2 linked regions of the Coturnix japonica genome follow. The protein of the gene in region 2 purifies or fractionates together with the protein of the main gene of each other region. This does not show direct contact. Links are inferred from orthologs where the notes say so. Each region holds a gene or a part of one and is shown on either strand. Other genes may lie near its edges.

What was found. Proteins that work in one complex are often made in the same cells at the same time.
Region 1: the proteins of MAP2K2 (region 2) and KSR1 purify together in Homo sapiens (affinity purification with mass spectrometry; 4 studies listed by BioGRID and IntAct, with this or other methods). This does not show direct contact. The link is inferred for Coturnix japonica from reciprocal best matches to the Homo sapiens genes MAP2K2 and KSR1.

The regions. Positions count from the first base shown.
Region 1 is NC_029534.1:7,917,896-7,923,909, reverse strand, and holds part of KSR1 (kinase suppressor of Ras 1), read right to left. Parts: coding exon 5,935-6,014; intron 4,689-5,934; coding exon 4,647-4,688; intron 3,910-4,646; coding exon 3,855-3,909; intron 3,186-3,854; coding exon 3,140-3,185; intron 2,698-3,139; coding exon 2,315-2,697; intron 1,615-2,314; coding exon 1,518-1,614; intron 823-1,517; coding exon 689-822; intron 262-688; coding exon 130-261; intron 1-129.
Region 2 is NC_029543.1:1,725,079-1,730,683, reverse strand, and holds the end of MAP2K2 (dual specificity mitogen-activated protein kinase kinase 2), read right to left. Parts: coding exon 5,591-5,605; intron 5,496-5,590; coding exon 5,371-5,495; intron 4,565-5,370; coding exon 4,351-4,564; intron 3,955-4,350; coding exon 3,890-3,954; intron 3,628-3,889; coding exon 3,566-3,627; intron 3,050-3,565; coding exon 3,004-3,049; coding exon of another isoform or gene 2,890-3,003; exon of another isoform or gene 2,738-2,889; intron 2,102-2,737; coding exon 1,991-2,101; 3' UTR 1,620-1,990; downstream 1-1,619. UniProt on the Homo sapiens protein: Catalyzes the concomitant phosphorylation of a threonine and a tyrosine residue in a Thr-Glu-Tyr sequence located in MAP kinases. Activates the ERK1 and ERK2 MAP kinases.

The DNA of each region.
Region 1 (6,014 bases), on a different chromosome or scaffold from region 2:
TTCTGTAGTAGGTGAGGGAAATGCAGCCTAGCTGAATCCTGAATCTGACAGAAGACAGGCAAGGCTCAGGTCTGCATCATATCTCATTTAGAAAGTTCCTGTGATACTCCTTAGGCCTTCTCCCCTTACCCAAAGGCATAGATATCTGCAGCTTTGGAGAAAGGCAGCTTGTCTTCATCTTTCCCAGGGGCCATCTCACGAACGATTTCAGGGGCCAGGTAGCATAACCAGTCATGAGGAAGCTTCAATTCATTCTCCCTCCTGAGTTCAAAGGAAAGAAGTCATATTGAAATGCAATATTAAGTAAACTAAGAAACAGCATATGGCCCGTATCTGTGGTTTGCCTAATGCTGTGACTTTTCTTACATGTTTTGGCTTGGCTAACATTCTCTTTCTAAATTTTGTGCCATATTAAAAAACATATGCAAGTGTTGGCCTGACTCTCCAGCTCATTCTTGGGCTTAAAATCGTTTTGTTCTGTGTTCCGAGACTCAAATCACATATTACTTTCTAGCTTTGTGCCGCTGGAAGTGCAGAAAGGCCTTTCAAGAAAAGAATTGTATTCCAGACTATACATAGGAAAAGACTCAATCTCCTCTCTTGCACCATGTAATGCATCAAAGTATGTCCCTGTTAGATCGTTTTTAATCACCCCAGAAATGGACCAAGCACTGAAACCTCCACCTACCTTCCTTCCTGAACCACACCCGAAATTCCAAATAGTCCAAAGTCAGTGATCACTACTTTCCCATTGTCATAAAAAACATTCTTGGATTTCAGATCCTTGTGTACAATCCCCTTCGCATGAAGATAGCCCATGCCCTGGAAAAAAAGTTTATGTGCAGAGATGTAAATGTTGTCATGTTTACAAGCCTCTAACTGGGCATGCTTCTCTTTCTAATACATGTTTATTTACTCCAACACAATACATTAAGTGGGGACACAACAGCTTCCTCCTCTGTACAGGAGGGTTGCTGGGAAGGTACTTCTAATTGAAGCAGTAAGTGATGGTGAACTTCACAACTCTGAATAAGTGTGTAGGTGTGTGAACAAGGAACAGCTGACACAAACTTGCTCGCTGAATTCCTAGGACACTTCTACCAGCAAAGAAAACAACAGCTTAAGAAATGCTACTTCAGTTGATCAATACTGAAAATAGCCATGGAAACTGCAAATCTGGAAGATCATGTCTACTTCAGAATGCTTTAATGTAGCTGTAGTTACCAATAAAAGAGACTGGGAAGGAAACGTGCCCTGCGTGCATTTCGTCATGGTTGCCTTTTATCAAAATTCTCCCTCCCCAACCCCATATAAGCAAAAGATCAATTTCTATCCCTACAGGTTTTCAGCTTACAGCCCACTGAATTAGCAGTTTTCCTTCCTCCATTTTCAATTTTTCCCTGCTGCAGCACCCTGTGGATGGCTGTTGAACTTACAGATCAGCTGTGCAGCCTCTCAGCACTTGCTGAGGAATTGCCCAGAAAGCAGATATCTCTGATAACACAACGTATGCTTACCTTAATGATCTCCTGTGCTATCTGCCTGGTTTTGTTAATATCCAGGGATATCTTGGGGTCCCTTACAAATGAATACAGTGTCCTTCCTTTGCAGAAGCTGTAAAAAAGAGGAACAAGAGTCCTAAAAAGTTTCTTTAAAACATTGGAGGAATGTAAAGACCAGTGGATGCTCAAAAGGTACTTTTATCATGTTGATGGAATCAGTCTTCTTCCCTCTGCTGAGCAATGCCATTTTCAGTAACACAAATGGCTCAGTTGACACCTGTGTGAGTGTACACAATTGCAGCTACTGATAACTGTCATTCAGTTATTGCTAAAGCGTAGTCAAGCAAACACTTATTTGTTTCCTCAGTGGCCCTGATCTCATTTTGCTCTTCAGACAAATAAGTCCAGTTTTCATAACCTGAGCACCAGCTTCTGCTGAGACTGCAGATTACTTTGTCCCGCTTCTAAAGAATTCAAGAGACTTTAAGAGATTAAAAAATAAGAATTAGATTGCCAATAAATAAACTCCCTAAGAAGAGACATCTCTAATATCAAAACTCCAAGCAACAGAGGCTGCTTTGATGTCTTCCACTTTCAGACTACAGAAATAAATATTACAAATTTATTTATAATACACACATATATCATGCATGTGCATTAAATATTTGTTATGGAAATATATAATTTACAAATATGTTTATAGAAATTTATTCTATATATATATATTCTATACAGAATACTGTATTATTATATCTATTCTATAAATAGATAAGCACATGCAGTATTACTAACAGAAGTTGTTATATCCTTACCTGGTAATGATTGCTAAATGAGGAGGGTTCATGCATGCTCCCATGAAAAGCACCACGTTCTCATGCCGGGTCTGTCTGTAATTCATCACTTCCTTTTTAAAGAGCTTGAGATGATCCTGATTGTTCCCATCTATCTCCAGCAGCCTTATGGCCACTTCCCCGTGCCATTTTCCCTTGTGAACCTTCCCCCATCGTCCTTGGCCAATGGGATCCCCCAGTTCGATCTGTTCAAAGGGAATGTCCCATTCCTGCAGGTAGACACTGGTCTGGCTGGGTTTGCGATAAATCATCCCTTGCAGGTGTGGCCTTCTGTTTGGCAAATCTTCCACTTCATCCTCATCATCTTCAGGTTCTGATTTATTACTCTCAGGTTCTTCCACCTGCTTACAGAAGGAGAACGGAAAAACATGCTGAGAGTCTGTTTTGAGAGGACTTGGGCAGGTTGATGAACCTATTTGATGACAGATCTAGAGATCCCTTCATAGGACAAAGTCATCCAAGAAAGCTACGAAAAGGCACACACCTCCTCTTGGGATGTGGCTCAAGAGCCACTTGAGAAACAGCTGCAGGCAACTGAGTGAGCCAAAGATTTGAGCTCACCTTCTCCCAATTAGAAACAGTTACTTTTTGTTACAAGTATTTCATTGCTTCAGCCTGGCAACAGAAACATCCAATTGTCAGTAGATCTGTGCAGCATAGACAGCCCAGTGGAACTGAAGGCACAGCAAGTCTACATTCACAGCTTCAGCCACAAGCTTCTGCTGCATTGCAACATGGCCTTTGGGATTACAAAAGAGATATAAAAGGGGAGACCATAAAACCTACCTCTGCTTCATGTTTAAGTCCATCTGTATTTGGCTGTTCTTTAGCACTAACAAGAGAAAACAGATTTGTAGTAAGAAATAAATGGGGTGCAGACAGTGAAAGCAGTATAGTCAATTAGATCAAAGTACAATCACTGCTCTAAGTCTAACAACTAAGGACTTTCTAAGATTACTTTGGCAAATAAGGGACAAAGATTTTGAAGTGATTCTTGGTGTTTAAGTGGTAGGAATTCATTGGCAGTGGTATGGCTGCATTATTACAATGTGTTCCAGTAACAGATACTCCTATTCCCAGTACTACAGAAACACCTGTACAGAGTATTGGTCAAGCAATTGTGAGTGCTGGGGTTGTAGGTTAAAACATCAGCACACCCTGCAATTCAGATCCCTACAAACATGTGAGCTTGCCATGCTCTTCCGTGCTGCTTCAATCACAAAACCTTCTACCTTTTATTCCTTTTCACCTTCCTGAGCTGGGAACATGCTCACAGAACCATAACTACATATTTGAAAACACGGTCCCACTTAAAATAAATATTTTCAGCTTTGCAAAACCAGAAATGCCAACATCGCTCTTGCTGATCGAAATTGTCCTGTAGAAGTTTTCAGATGATACATTCAACAGGCCATTGGTTTCAGTTATAACAGTGCCTTTGTGCTGACCTGAAGATTATCAGGTTAACACAACATGATTAAAACAAGCAGTTCTTACTTACTTGGTGTCTGCAGCAGTTTCTGGAGGCTGTGCTATTTGTGCAGGACTGGGAATTTCTGGGAAGTATGAAAATTATTACACATATTTTAGACTCAATTCCCTTATAGATCAGAATATTCAATATTGCAGTACCAGCTGTTTTACACACCTATATATCAACCCATTCCAGCTTTCTTAACATTCACTTATTTGTAATGTTTTGCAATGGCCGTCCTCATTTCTGAGCTGCTCACACCCTTTTAAATGGCCTTCAGCAATCAGAAATACTTGAATCCAGATGCAAGGATTAATAATTGTAGGTCACACATTCCAACCACACTTAGTATGATCAGTGTCACCAGTGCACAGGAAATTCAGTTTCGGTTGCAAATCCTTGCAAAATTTAGAGTGCAATACTCTGTACCTGGCATCCTACATCACCAGTTCTCTCTTTGGAAATAGATGGACAGTTTCTGAAGGTTAATGAAAAGTGACCAAGAAAAGAGCTTGCACATATGAATAATGTTGCACCATTTTCAATCCCATAGGCAAGAACATCAATTCATAAATATGATCTCAGCATTCCTGAACTGCCAGCATCCATTATTCCAAGCATATAATCCCAAAAGACAGCCTTAACAAAAGAACTCAGCCGTGAGTAGAATCGCACAGCAGAAATCTGGTGCTTTATCTGTTGTACTGGATATACTTCTTTTCAAAAGCAGAATTATCGCTCTTGGGTAAGCATGCAAAAATTTACAGTTACTTTCTGGCAGCAAAAGCTTAGTTAGTTGAATTAAAACAGTCAACTCACCTGGGAAGATAAACTGTTGTCTATGCTGAATATAGTAGGCAGCTTTTGTTTGGTTAAAAAAAAAAAAGACATAAAAAGAAAACAAAAAAAAAAACAACAAAACAAACAAACAAGTTAGAGGATCATCAGTAAGTGCCACATATGCATTCAATTAGTCCCAACTCACTGTTAGGAAGCAGATTAGTTGATTATCAGTCTGCTTGAGGGGTGAATTTCAGTACATGCATTTCTGGAAGACAGATGACACCTGTCACATGAATGCTGTGTTAATGCAAGCAGTCTGGTGGGAAAACCAGCCGTTCATATGTCAAGTGGAAGAAGCAGACTCAGAGAACCCAGGGATGCCAGCAGGCAGGCCCAGGAAAAGGCTGATCCTTCAATGCTCTCTCACACTGTCAGCGTTTCCAAGCTGCATGCAGAGAGGCTGAAGCTCAAGAGCTCTTTGCAAGTTGTTTTGTTTGTTTTAATTTCACTTAAATTGAATTACTTGTCCTCATACAAAGTAACTGCAGTAGAATCCCTGCACTAAACTTGCACTGCTTCTGCTCCTTTTAAGTAGGCTAAAACAGCAACTTTCACAGGCGAGAAATCTTTTGCAAAACAGTAGTATTTAAGGCCAGATGCAGCACCTGTTTAGCAGCATGTGACTTCATTTCCAGATAGAAGAAATTAAGTTTATTCTACTATGCAAGCCTTGTCTCTATCAGCTTTGTTAAGGACAGCATATTTGGGTCCTTAATCCAGGAAGTATGTAAATTCTTCACCATACACACCTGTCTACACTTTAAAAGCCAAGTGTTCATTGTTGGTTATCTTTTGGAAGGGACTAGTAGAACTAATTTATGTCAGTCTCCATTTTAATACTTTCTTTCTAGCAATGACCTTACGTTTCAAAGCCACCAGTGAGCAAACACAGCGGGCAGCACGAATTTCATGATACAGTAAGAAAAAGGAAACAAGCAACACCACTTTCTTCTAGTACTCATCAGAAAAGGAAAATAAATAAATAAATAAATAGAATAAAGTAGAAAGATCATATTGGGTAAAAAAGGAACCAGAACTCCTCAGTAATTTGTTTCCTGCAAAAGTATCTTGTTCCTTTGGCTTAAAACCTTCTAAGAACAGACTGTGTCCCCTTTATCAGATGACAGGAAAAACTTTCAAACCTTGAGTAAGACTCAACTATCTATTCAGAAACCTAAAACTACTTATGAAGTCTTGGTTAGCCCCAGCTTCCACAGATGCCTTTCTGATCTTGGCAGAGCCCTCCAGAAAAAGATGGGTTTACCTGGGAAGTTAAATCGTGCATCCCTCTGGCCCATAGGAGATAGGTTTGGGGGAGGTGTTGCACTGGGAGGGTTGGAAGAC
Region 2 (5,605 bases):
CCATGAGATCACCTGCATCTTAATTCACACCAAGTTGCTCTGAGTGTTTGATAGAATCCACTGCAGAGCACATGAGGCATCCCACTGGCTCTGGGGTACCCTAAGGGCACATTGCGGAGCCTCTACAGCACCCAAGGAATGCTGAGATAGGCAGGGATTACACTAGGATGCCCTAAAGGCAGCCCTCAGTGCCCCCAGATCTCTCCTGAAGATGGGAATAATCCAATACCACCTGCAAGAGGTGCCAGGCACCATGCCAGGCAATGGGGGTCCCCCAAACCCCACACTGATGGGGTCTCTGCAGGGGTATAACTCCAAGGTTGGATGAGGCCAGGGCTCCCAGCTAAGCTCAGCCTCACTCTATAATGAATACACTCAGCATCCAGCAACCCTAGAGGAGGATTTATGGCACAGTGCCTTCCTTATTGCTCACATCCATCCTGCTGGGACAGGGCAGCCCAGTGCCAGGATAATTGGGGGGGATCTGTTCCATGAGGAGCTGCCAGAGTCTGGGCACACAGGAGTTAAAGCTGAGCAGGAGAAATCAGAAGAGAATAGGCCTGTAAATGTAAAGTGCCTTTTATTATTATTATTTTTTTTCCATGATGAAAATATTTAGTTAGAAAATAAAACAAAATGCTCAAAAAGCCACAAATAAACCCTGACACTTTATGAATTGCCCACCTCCCCACCTGGAACCTAAGAGGCAAAAAAACAACAGTAACTGCCCAGTGCATTTTGCTGCCAGCCCCCCTACCCCAGCCAGGCAATGGGGATGGGGCTGTGAATGGGGTTAAGAAGGCAACATATTTCCTTCTGAAGGGTGATAATACCAGGCCTGCCCCTTTAGGAGATGAGGCTTTAAGGCATAATCAGCCCTGAGGGGATGGGGGTGAATGTATGGTGATGGTTCATCCCTGACATCAACAGAGCCCTCATCCTTCCTGAGGCAGGAGGACACGCAGCAGCCCAGGTGTAGGGTAAAGAGCGTAGAGGGCACAAGGGAGCCTTTAAAAACCTTAAAACTTTAGGACAGAGCATGAGAAGGCTGAACCCCCCCAGCAAGACTCAGCCCCTCCATGGTCCCAACTGCCACCAAACCCACATAGTGCCAGACCTTGGCTTGGGAAGGTGGGGGGCAGCTGGAGGGGGGAAAGCCTGCAGTCCAGAGGGGTCTTCAGGATTGCTCTGCCTGAGGCACAGCAAACCCAGGGATGGATCCTGCCCAAGGCACCAAACCCTGCTGCCTGCACTGCAAGGGGCTGAGCAGGGTGTTGTGAAGCAGGAGGGACAGCAGAGCCCAACTTTCCCATCTGAGCCAGCAGCTCAGCCTGCACTCAGAAGCTCGAGACAATTCATCAGTGCACCAGAACAGGCTGTAAAACAACCCAATTAACAACAGAAGTCAAACCACAAGTGCCTCCTCCCTCTTACCCACAGAGAGTCCAGCACCCAGCTCAGCCCTAAGCAATGCCACAGCCTTATGGCACAGCACCTGCCATGGCTGGAGATACTGTGAGGTGTCTCCCCTCTCCATGCTCTAAGCCCAGGAGCAGACAAAGCCCCCTCCCCACAGCCCCCTGCCCATCCCCTGCCACCAGCTCACACACACACACACATACACCAGTGCACACGTCTTATTTTCTTTTAAACCCAAGTGAACATGTTTCCAAAAAGAAAACCAAAAAAAAAAAAGAGAAAAAAAAAATATAACATAAGCAGCACATTTCCCAAGTGTCAAAGAGCTCCAAAGCTGGAGCAGAGGCCCAGGACACCCCCCAGACCAACAGAAACTAAACCCATGTTTGCATGGGGATGAGGGAAAGGAGGTGGGGGGGGGGGGAGGCAGCTGATTAACATTTCCAAGTGATGGTGCTTTGCTGGTGGGATGCGAGAAGGGGCAGGGGAGAAGGAAGAAGGGCAGTTCTGTTGTGTACTGAAGGGCAGGAAACAGTGGCAGAGGCAGATGTACTGACACCAGGCTTGGCCATCACACGGCAGCACGGGTGGGTGTGCTGGGCTGGTTTAACCTCAGTGTTTTGCAGAGCCAGCCGGCGAAATCCACCTCCTCCACTTCAGAGCGTTTGATGAAGGTGTGATTCTGCAAGGGAAGCAAAGCAAGGTTAGGAAGGCACACTGTTAGCGTGCAACTATGTGCTCCCCACAGCAATGATTTCCACCTCCAGCAGAACACCACAATCCCTGGCCTCTTTCTCAGAGCTTTTTTGGGTGGGGGGCCTTACGCTGTTGGCTGGACCCCAGCAAAGCCAATGGATCCAAGGCCACAGCTTGGGCTGCTTTCAGGCCCAGACAGTAGATCTGGAGAGTAGTCCCTAAATATTTGCTACTTACAGCCCTATGGCTGGGTTTTAAAGTCAGTGCATCTCTTGCCTGGTCATGAAACTCAGGGCATGCAGGAGAGCTGAAGTGCAAAGCCTACGTGCTGCATCCCCAGAGCAACCCCTAAGTGCTATGGTGGAGACAGGACCAGGCTGGTATAGGTTCAGAACTACAGATCCTGAGCTCAGCCCAGTCCCAGCAAACCCTAATCCCCCCTCCAACCAAGGAGAGGGGCAGAGCAGGGTGACCACAAAACAAGGACAAGGAGCAGGGACATAAGGATGTGGGCTACTGCTTTTGCAAGGGGCAGCAGGGGGCAGGCTGAGGAAGAAAAGGTTCATGGGGATAAGCTGAGCTCTTCTACACTGCTCAAGAGGCAAAGGTTTGTCCCAGGCACCTTCGCAGACATGGAGAGGTGCTGGAGCCATCAGGTTTTCCATACTGGGCTCTGCTGGGGAGGGACAGCAGGCTCTCAGGGGTTAGATGACATCACTGCCTTTGAGACAAAGGTAAGTGAGTCAACTCCATCTCCCAGGCTGGATTTGGTTCTCAGGCACAGCCAGGGGAGTTTCCAGCCTTTAGAGCTGGAAGGGATGGGATGAGGCAGCAGCTTGCAGATCTGGTGCCACCCAGTGTAGAAAGAAGATTGTTCTTCCCATTTACCATCAGCATCTTCAAATCTGCCCGTTCCGCTGGATTCTTAATTAAGCTGAAATGAGAAGAACAAGAGAGCAAAAGCAGCACTGAGACACTTCTTGTAAGAAACTGCTTATCTGTCTGGAGAGGACTCCAGCTTCACTAAAGCCACGTTGCCTCCTGCCTGCCTTCCCCACACCAGCAGCATGAACGATGCTTAGATAGCATTGTCTGCAGCTCCAGCACCCTGGATTCCAGGCAGAGCTGCAAGATCCACTACTTCTGGATTGCACAGACAAACTTCGTAACCATTTGAAGAGATGAATGGTTTTCTAACAGCCAGTCTCTTTTAATGGAGATGGCAGCAGCATCCCCAGGCTCAGAGGGTCTTGAAGTCAGTGGTGTTTGCAGGGTGCCTGGAAGATTGTGGGGTGAGCTATAGGGGTTAACTACAAATAAACCACTTTTATTCCAGCCCTTCCCAAGGCAGAAGTTCCCAGCATAGTGCAGGACCTTGCTGCAGCCAAGCCAGTTTCAGTCACAAACAGAAACACAGACTGTGTTTCAGTCACAAACAGAAAATCCTTACCATTTATTTACAAACTCCTGGAAATCTTGTGTGAAAACTCCATTTGGCAACTTGGGAGGTGGCTGCAGGGAGAGGAGAAAGTGTTAATGGGTCAAAACATACATGTCTTAAAGCACAGCTTTCAGTTAAGGTTTGTCCAAAGCCACGTCCCTCCAAGCTGCTCCTTTCCCATTCAATCAGTGGCCAACAGGATTTTGATGCAGTTTGGAGGGGCCCTATTGATAAGCCCCTGTCAAGCAAAGGTTTTTGAGCCTATTCTTGACCTGGCAGTGCGGACACAACACCAACCCAGAGGAGCAGAACCTACAGTAGTGCAATGCTCACCTCATTAACTATATAGTCCAGCAGTTCAAAGATGGCCATTGCAGGTCGGCTGTCCATTCCATGGCCTGTGTGGTTAAGATGAAAGAAATACTGGTGAGAAGAGACACCAAAGGGCTTCATTTCAAGCAAAGAAAACCCACATTGTGGGACTTCTGGTGGGAGAAGCAGAGGGCACCAAGTTGGGAATGAACCCACGGTTAAAAATATCCCCCAAATCACCTCCTAAGCTCCCCATATAAGACCACAACTCCACAGGCTCTCAGTATTAGAAACCTCCATAGCAGAGCTGGATTCTCCTATAGCACAGACATAGCTCTGCCTGCAGGAAAGAGTGAGTTGAGAACCCTCCCTCCCCACAACCTCATCCACAACAGCTTTTGCTAACCCAGCCACACCAACAGAACCCATCCCCATGCCCCTACACCTGCATGTTGTATCCAATACATACAACAGCCCCTTACCACTAATGGGGCGTCCTGGAGGCCTGGCCCTTGGTGAGACGCTGTGAGACTCTCCCTCTGCCCCATCCACCACAGGACGGCCAAATATTGCTTCCAGTTCCTTGGAGTCTGGTGGGGGTATTGGGTACCTTCCAATAGAAAGCTCCACCAATGACAGACCCATACTCCAGATGTCAGACTGGACTGAGTAATGAGTGCCCTGCAACCGTTCAGGCTGGAAGGAAAGAGAACAAGACAACACAGTGGTAAGAAACCTAAAGCATCTTCTCTATGAGCAGGTGTCCTCCAAGCAGCTAGCACTCCTGATACCTGCAAAGGAAGCACTTCTATGGGGTGTGGGAGCTTCCAAGTCACATCAAACACAAAGCACTTGCACACATCTAACCAACAGATAGATAGAGCTGAGCAGCCTTTGCAGTTGCTTATACTCTGGATTTCTGAGCGAGCTGAGATCTCAGTTTTGTTGCAGGAAAGATTAAGCAGTTTTCTTTTTCCTGTTTATTCCTGTTAATATCTGAGAGTAATCACAGGAGCAGAAAATCCTACTGTGATAAAAAGGCTAAAAGTTAATAAAAATCAATGCAAGCCATCTATACTGGTTACTATGTGTGAGCTTTGCAGGCCCAATGGTTTAGAGCAGAGGGGACATCACCCTTAAATACACCATCTAACTATATAAAATATATTAAAGAACCATTCCCAAAATACAAGAGGAGCTCAGTCCTCCGTACAGAAGCACCAGCAGCTTTGCTAACAAAGCTCCTGCTTGCTTGCAGCTGCAGCACATGGTGTGGGCAGCAGACATGCATCTTCTTTGCTATCCAGACAGAGGATCAGAGCCAGCAACTGCACGTGGTTGAAGCATAGATGAAGGAGGGGGGGTGTCAGCACAGGACAAGCTTTGCATATAGAAAGACATTTTGGAACCCACAAACACTTGCCGAAACAGAATGGAAGCACCCATAGGATCAGCCAAGCTGAACCCAAACTGTAATAACCCACTTAAAAAGTTGAACTTACAGACATGTAGGACCGAGTTCCCACAAAAGAGTTTGCCATGGAGTCAATGAGCTGACCACTGACCCCAAAATCACACAGCTTAATCTCTCCTCGAGAGTTAACCAGGATGTTGGAAGGCTTCACATCTGGCAACAGTGAGAGAGAAGAGTGTGAACATGGCTCTGGGTAAAGCACTGGGCTCCTCCAGCATAGGCAGCTATTGTTAGGTCCCTCCTCTCACCTCTGTGCATGATTT